2 linked regions of the Astyanax mexicanus genome follow. The protein of the gene in region 1 interacts with the protein of each later gene in a pairwise test. Links are inferred from orthologs where the notes say so. Each region holds a gene or a part of one and is shown in the gene's direction. Other genes may lie near its edges.

Evidence for each region.
Region 2: the proteins of bcl11aa (region 1) and nr2e1 interact in a two-hybrid assay, tested with the Homo sapiens proteins (2 studies listed by BioGRID). The link is inferred for Astyanax mexicanus from reciprocal best matches to the Homo sapiens genes BCL11A and NR2E1.

Annotation. Positions count from the first base shown.
Region 1 is NC_064414.1:37,446,440-37,450,364, reverse strand, and holds the start of bcl11aa (BAF chromatin remodeling complex subunit BCL11A a), read left to right. Parts: upstream 1-1,121; 5' UTR 1,122-1,549; coding exon 1,550-1,604; intron 1,605-3,925. UniProt on the Homo sapiens protein: Transcription factor. Associated with the BAF SWI/SNF chromatin remodeling complex. Binds to the 5'-TGACCA-3' sequence motif in regulatory regions of target genes, including a distal promoter of the HBG1 hemoglobin subunit gamma-1 gene.
Region 2 is NC_064408.1:53,000,166-53,004,090, forward strand, and holds the start of nr2e1 (nuclear receptor subfamily 2 group E member 1), read left to right. Parts: upstream 1-904; 5' UTR 905-1,497; coding exon 1,498-1,555; intron 1,556-3,925. UniProt on the Homo sapiens protein: Orphan receptor that binds DNA as a monomer to hormone response elements (HRE) containing an extended core motif half-site sequence 5'-AAGGTCA-3' in which the 5' flanking nucleotides participate in determining receptor specificity.

The DNA of each region.
Region 1 (3,925 bases):
ACTCTCTGGCCACACCTTATCTCGCAGGTTGGTCTTTCCATCCCAGCTCCTCTCACTCCCAGAGTCCCTCCTGCCTCTCTCCCTTTCCCCGCAGACTGGCGCCTATGCTCGCTCTGCCGTGGTCGTGTCGCACAGCCTCGCTAAGTCTATAGTCCTATTTCAGCTACTTGGCGAGGATGTGGCTCTTTTCCTCCCTCCTCGCTCGCGCATGTATGTGTCTGAGAGAGTGTATGTGTGTGTGTAGCCTACACGCTCCCTTGTCTCTTTACGCGGTGTTATTTGAAAATGTTTGGAGCATCTTATAGCGGAATCCGCGTGGAAAAGCCTCCATAACCCCCCCTCCCTTCCTCCCTCCCCCTGCCGCCATCCTGACCTGAACACAGCTGAAACTTGTTAAACCCCAGCCCCCTTTGTAGTGGGCTGCTCCCATCATATAGTCGTCACTGTGGTATGGGTTTTAAAACTAGGCTAGACTTGTGGAATATTTAAGTCCCACCTACATAATTCGCAAAAACATCAACAAAACCTGCGAGTGTCCACGTTTACTCTTTTTTTTACTTTTACAGGGTCCCTCGCTTAATATTTAACTCTAAGTTATTTTTGTAGTAAAGGGGTTTGTGCATGTGGCACCGCTCGGGGACACATGAGGAGCCTCCTCCGTGCCCTCGCGCGGAACCTGTCCGTCCTGTTCACGCGCAACCTGATCGTTTGTTGTTGTTTTTTTTTTTTCAGCAGCGGCACAGGTTCTCGCCCTCTCCGTCTCTCTCTCTTTTCGCGCGTCCGCGTGAACTCTGCTCTGCACTTCTGTCTGTTTGGACCACGAGCTGAACGTGTGTTTCAGCTGCTCACTAGCCCTGGTCAATGTCCACTGAAGCAGCTTCTATTAAAGGTTTCTCTCCCCCTCCCCTCGCATAGCGCATGTCCAGCCCCCCACACCACACCACACCACCCCCTCCACTCCCAGCCCCCCTGAATCTCATGGCCATTGGCTTTTCGTGGTCCGTGTTCCTACGTCCACCCCCTACACACACACATACACACTGCACGCTGCTTTCATTAAACACCCCCCCCCCCCCCACCCTCTCTCACTCTCTCTCGCTCGCTCACCCTCTCTCTCTCTCGCCTCTTGTCCGGCCCCCTGATCTTTCTGTCCATTGGCTTCTCCGGGTCTATTTTTCATGTCCAGCCCCTAATGAGTGTCCATTGGTTTTGTTATTTCCACTCCCTCCTCCCACTCCCCGGCTTTGCCCTGCCCATGTTTTGTATGTCTGTGTCCATCCATCTCCTGACGTTCAAGTTCGCAGGGACGTCACGTCCGCACTTGAACTTGCAGCTCAGGGGGGCTTTTGCCATTTTTTCATCTCTCTCTCTCTCTCTTTTCAAAAAAGCCATGACGGCTATCCCACAATTCATCTTCCCCGCGCCATCTTTGTATTATTTCTAATTTATTTTGGATGTCAAAGGCATTGATGAAGATATTTTCTCTGGAGTCTCCCTTCTAACCCGGCTCTCCCGATGTGAACCGAGCTGAAAGCCACCACCAACCACCATGTCTCGCCGCAAGCAAGGCAAACCCCAGCACTTAAGCAAACGGGATTTCTCGCGTAAGTACCGCATGTGTGTCTGTGTTGTGTCGTCCTTACCCTCTCGTTTTGTCGGTCTCGGTGTGCAATGTGCAGCAAAGAGGGGGAAAACAGCAGCTACCGTGGAGCGAAGCCCGCTGAAGGCACACTGGACAGTGGACAGCGGAGACCGCGGTCAAGTGGACTTCACTGAGGAGCGTGGCGAGTCGCTGCCGCTCGTCAAGCAGCAGCACGCGCACCTTCAGCTACTGAGAAAAGTTTCTGTTTTCGTCCGCGAGCCGCCCGCTGAAATTCCTGAGAAGTTTAGGGCTCGATTTTTCAGCGTAAGCCACGTGCGTTGGCTCCCGTGCCCCCAGTCCGTGTGTTTGGCCATCTAAGACCCGGTGTAAGGTACCGGACTGTGGTAGGTAGGTGTGCAGCTCCAGCTCTGGCTCTCAGCGCTGTGTTGTGGAGTAAACCCGTAGCACTCGACTGCGAGCGATTCTGGGCAGGATTTCCCCCCTCTCGCACTATTTTTGGAAGATTTTCAAAAAGTGGAAGTGGATTTTGATTGGGAAGGGGAAAGAAATCTCGTGTCCGACTGTTTACAAACGCGGCGTGAGCGCGCGGTGCACTACTCACCGGCAGCAGCCACGGAGAGGGTCGGTCATTGTATTGGCTATTTTAGACTCACCTCTCCAACCGAACTGGGCAAAGCTTAGATACATATAATAGGTACGCTTTTAAACTTTAAGCTGAGCTCCTTTCTCACAAAAAGCGTGATTCCTCCAGTGCTCGAGCTGATGTTGAGACTTAGCCTTATTCGTCAGGAGCAACAGGAACGCGAATGGGTCATCTACCAGTGCTTTTTCTTCCTCGTATATTTAATGTGTGTAATTTATATTTCAGTTTAATTACTAAAGAACGGTGTTGACTTAAAGATACAACAGACCGTCAGTGGCATTTAAACTACTTAAACAGACATTTTATTCAGGGATTTTTTTTCTTAATTCACCCCCCGGAAAATGCTAAACATTTGTTTTGTAAGCTCTGTTTTAACGAAACCCACGAAAAGTGTCCGAACAGGGTCGTGAATATTCTCGTTGTTGAGCAAAGTCGCCCAATTTGATATTTTATAGCTCCATAATCGTGCTCGTGAATATGACAAGTAGACTATGCAAAAGCACACCGGTTTCTTCTTATTCTCCTGACTTTTCTTCAAACGACACCGAGACCCAGAAGCATTAGGCTGCCTTTTACACGATAAACATGCTTGACACAAATCCCACGTTGTTGTAACGTTGTAACGTATCGTGTAACATTATTGGGTTCCCCCCCACACACACAGGCTGTTGGGTTTCAGTGCCGTCTCCAGGTTGCACGCCAGTCTCTCTTTCACCCAGCCGTGTGTGTCGTTCGTCGCTAGGAGGCACACTACGATCAGAAACTGGAAATGAACTTGAACCTGATCGATTTTTACCGCCACCTCTGTCTACATATTTCACGATAGGGTTGGAAGAGAGAGAAACTTGTTATGCACACCTATAGCCCGTTTCACCCCCGGAACCACGTGCTTTATTTAGGTTATACTGAGTTTTGAATGAAATCTTAAAAAGTAGGTTAAGAGAAAGTAAATCTACTATGAAGATACACACTCGTAGGCTTAATATCCAAAAACTTAACAACACCGGTACTCTGACACCGATGCTGTGTTTCAGTCGTAAACACTAATAAAGTCGTGTTTTTTTTTAGCAGTTTCACATGCAATAACTTATATTAGGAAAAAACACGGCCGGAACTCAGTACATGTTAAGATTTTTTGTTTCATTCATTTTTTTCTTTATATAAGCGATCTTCACTTTTAAATAGCTTATGTTTTTTATTTCTGAATTATTCTTAGCTATAGTTCAGTAATAAGATTCTAAAATTAAAAAAAATAGCAAGTGCTAAATTGCTCACTTTTTTAAATTTGCATTTTCAGTCCGTTTTAAGTCTCTGGATCCATTTAATTTGTTTTAGTGATGTTGAAAGTCATTTTTTTATCGCTTAAACTTAAGACTGCATGATCTTTTATTTTTATTTTTGTCAATTTATTTAGTCCACTCTTTTGCAGTTGCACTGTAAGATCTGATCTTCTTTTGAAAAAATAATAACCATATTTTTGTTTTATATAAATTGCATGAATACTTGCTTTATGATTTATCACATATTTATCATTTTTAATTACTCAGTTTAAAAGACTCCCACAAGAACCCGTGGCAGCCCATATTCTGCGTTTAGAGGATTTGTTATTTGTATGTACGTCCATTTACAGCAGCCAATTGTATACACAGATTTGCATTAAATTAATCAGAGCCTATAAC
Region 2 (3,925 bases), on another chromosome or scaffold:
ACCGGCTGGCCCCGGTCAGCGCGCGAGCCCTAGACCCCCCGGCCCACCGTGGGAATGACCGTCATTACAGCGCGGAGGTGCGGCACTGCGGGGTCCCCGGCGCACGCGCGCGCACACACGCACAGTGCAGGGAGCGGTAAGAGCGCGCGCACCATGTCAGCAGTCAGTTTTTGACGAAGTGCGAAAGACGCAATGAGAAAAAACTAATGATTCAATAAATATATAATAAAGACATTGTTATGCATATTAATGCATTTAAGACGAAGGACATTTTCCGTTAACAGCAAGTTTTTTTTTTATTTACAGTTGGGTTTGATTGTGGTCAACGAGGTACAACTAACGAGTCCTGAATAAATAAGTCTTTAGAAGAAGACACTCCAGAGTAGTAAGAGCGGAGCGGAGCGGAGAGAGGAGCAAGGCTCAGACACAGCTGTATTCCATGCAGCTCGGGGGGAGCAACAGGTGCGCGAGCTTCGAAACCACTTTATTTTAAGATTAAAAATAGGAAGCGTGTATTAATAATAATAATAATAATAATAATAATAATAATAATAATAATAATAATAATAATAATAATAATAATAATAATACATAAAAAACGCAAATTAATAAAATAAAAATAAATAATAAAAAATGTATTACAAATGAAATAAAATCAACAAAATAAATACAGTAAATTAGAATAAAATATTATATAGATACATACAAACATATAAAATATACTATACAATTACGTTATAATGGTGTTAAACAACCTGGCTAACTCTGGCTAATCAGTCCCTCTAAACAGCAGTGGATTAGTCTTTGCCGCCCCCCTCTCTCACTCTCTCTGTCGCTCACTCTCACTCTCTCAGTCTTTTGGAAACGTCACTCCGTCTGTCGTTCTCCAACCCCTGCCCACCCCGGCAGGTGACGTCATGCGCCAACTTAGAGTAGAAGAAGGCAGGGAAAAAAGCTAAGTGGGCAAAAAGGGAAGTTGGGCCTCTCCTCCTCCTCCTCCTCTACCTCCTGCTTCCTCCTCAAATACTTCTCATGCATATTCCCGAAGGCTTTAATCTGACGGCGCACATCACAAAGTCAGCGCGGCTCCGGGGCTGCCCGCATTTCTGCGCTCTGAGCTTTCTCCCCTCTCCTGCTGTTATTTATTCCACCTCTCACACTGACCGGCTGGGTCTATCTAAGTGTGTTTTTTCACCGCTGAGTTCTGGGCCCCGTTTACCGAGAACAAACTCTACTGCAGCAACTTTGGCTGCCCAAGGGTCATCCCGTGTGTAGGTCACCTCCCAGCCCGTGCATGCGCGTGGACTGCGGGTCTGACCGGTCCACATCATACAGCTTCAGGGCAGCTCACGCCGGGGAGACACACTGGACACTCACACCGCCTCCGCAGCGCTCAGCATCTCCACCGGCACCTACCCGGACTGCTGCGACAAGATCTAAAACTGATTAAAACCCGCTGCTGACTTTCCCTCAGCCGAACTGGAAGAGGAGCCCAAGATGAGTAAAGGTTCCAGCTCAACAAGTGGCTGTTTGGATATTTTAAACGTCAAGTCAAGTGAGTACCGAGACCTTGAAACGCTTTACTACAGATGCTCAATATTAATTATTAATCTCTGTCATTTAATCGCGTCTGTCTAAATCAACCCGGGAGATTATGTGACATTGTAAACTGTAGCGCGCAAGTGGAGGATCACACTAAACTGAACTTTACTAACGGCAACTATAACCTATAATTTAAAATGCCCGATTTTCTCTTCTTTAATTAAAATTAATTGTTTGTTTTAAAACGTGCATTTTCATGACTAGGTTTTGTTATTGACACATTTGAATATGTAAAAACAAATCCATATGTTTTCGAATGATTGATTTATGTGAGTGGATAATGGATAAGAATGGAGCAGCAACGTAACTTAATATAATTTGACATGTCACAGATCACATACGATTCCGATTAAATTAATTATGACTACATTAAAAAGTTTACTTTTAAAGTTTTACTGAAATGATAAGCAGCCTGTTTATATGTGTTTTCTTCTTAAGGATTTTGCGTGTTTTCCAGGTAGCTCAGTCAAGTAAATGAGAATGCGTGTTCAGTAATACGCATTTCGAAATAATTTATCAAAATACCACATATAAAAAGTCTTCATTAATAGGTGTTTACATATTTAAGCTTCCTCTTTTATTCACCTTAAATTGTTGGATAAAAGTTTTATTATTGGATGTTGTTTTAATGTACTTTGGCCTTTATCTAAATCTCATGAAGCACAAACTCTCCAAATGAATTGGAATAAAATATTTTTACAATGAATTTCATTGAAATGATTTTTTCATTTTCTTTTAAATTTGCAGTGTAGGAGATACATTTTTTCCCTGGCTGCAACGAATTTTATAAGAACAAATATGTGTAAAAATACATAGATTTAAGAAAGTGAAATAAAAATAAGTGTAGATGCGAGTTGTCAGTTTCAATTAGTTATTTAAGATAACGAATACCTAATTGGCTAAGTTTAAAAGACAAAAAAATCATCACTATTTACAAAATGTCCAAGAGAGTGAAACTGAAAAATATTAAACGAAACTTTACCCTAAAGTAACACCTCATCAACTCAAATCGCTTAGACGCGGCAGGTTCTCTCAAATACAAACTTCACGATCAGCGTCATCTATTCCCTATTTTAATTTTTTTGTCATCATCATCATCATCTTCCTTATATTAAAAGTTTTAAAACTGTGTTTGGGGGCCCCGGCTCAACCGCTAGACTGATGCAGGAGACGGTAGGCCCTAAACTTATTACTGTAATGAAATATGCCACATATTCATAGGCAAGAGGGGTTTCGGAAAGCAACACACGGATAAAACAATTACAGAATGGGGTCTAACAAATGCAGCACTCCGTTCCACTTCTTCTACTATAATTTCTCACTTTTAATGAAGGACAATAAATTAGCGATGTTATGAAATGGAGCTCAAATTTATAGCTCAGCTCCAGCAAATAGACATTGTTCAGCTCCAGTCCCTGATGAAGAATGAGATAAATCAAATAAAGAAAACACCATTTATTATTATTATTATTATTATTATTATTATTATTATTATTATTATTATTATTATTATTTTTATTATTATTATTATTATTATTATTATTATTATTATTATTATTATTATTATTATTAATATACAAATACATAAATGTTAATCTATATTCCTTTCGGGGGGTTTGTGGTTATTTTAATAAGTGCGTTTATTTATTTCAATTATTTCATTATCATTGCAGAATTTACAATAACCAGAGCATTACAAACATAAATCATACTAAAAACCGAAAAATAACATTATTATTATCATCCCAAGATATTTTCACTTTTTTGCATTCTAACTTTATTTAACATTAACTGGATACAGTAATTTCGGCTAATTTTGTATGTGTCCAAAAGGTAATTTTAAAAATCTAGTATCCAAATGACAACAGCAGTTTAAACATAATACACTTTAGTTGTTATACAAAATCTATGTATTTGTTTCACTTTTTTTACGTTTGAAAATTTGTTATATGTAAAATTGCTTGAAATGTTCTTTTATATTTACTAGAATGTTTTCCTTCTCCTGTAAAGTTAGCATTTAAAATACGAGGTTTACGACAGCGGCGAAATAATGAACATAAAAATGAGAACTTTATATATCTGCTGCAGAATCAAAGCTTAAGAACTTTTAATATTTTTTCTTTTTGTCACGCGTTCACAGAATCTGGAGCGAAGAGAAGACGCAGCTAAATGCTGCCAAAGTAGTTTTGAACGACCGATCATTTGGCTGCAGTTTGACATCAGACCGCCCTGCCACTGCTCTCATTGTTGTGGCGCTCGGCCCTCGCCGAGCCATATCCGAATTCCCATGCTACCGTTTTTGACGGGTCACTGGGAAATCAAT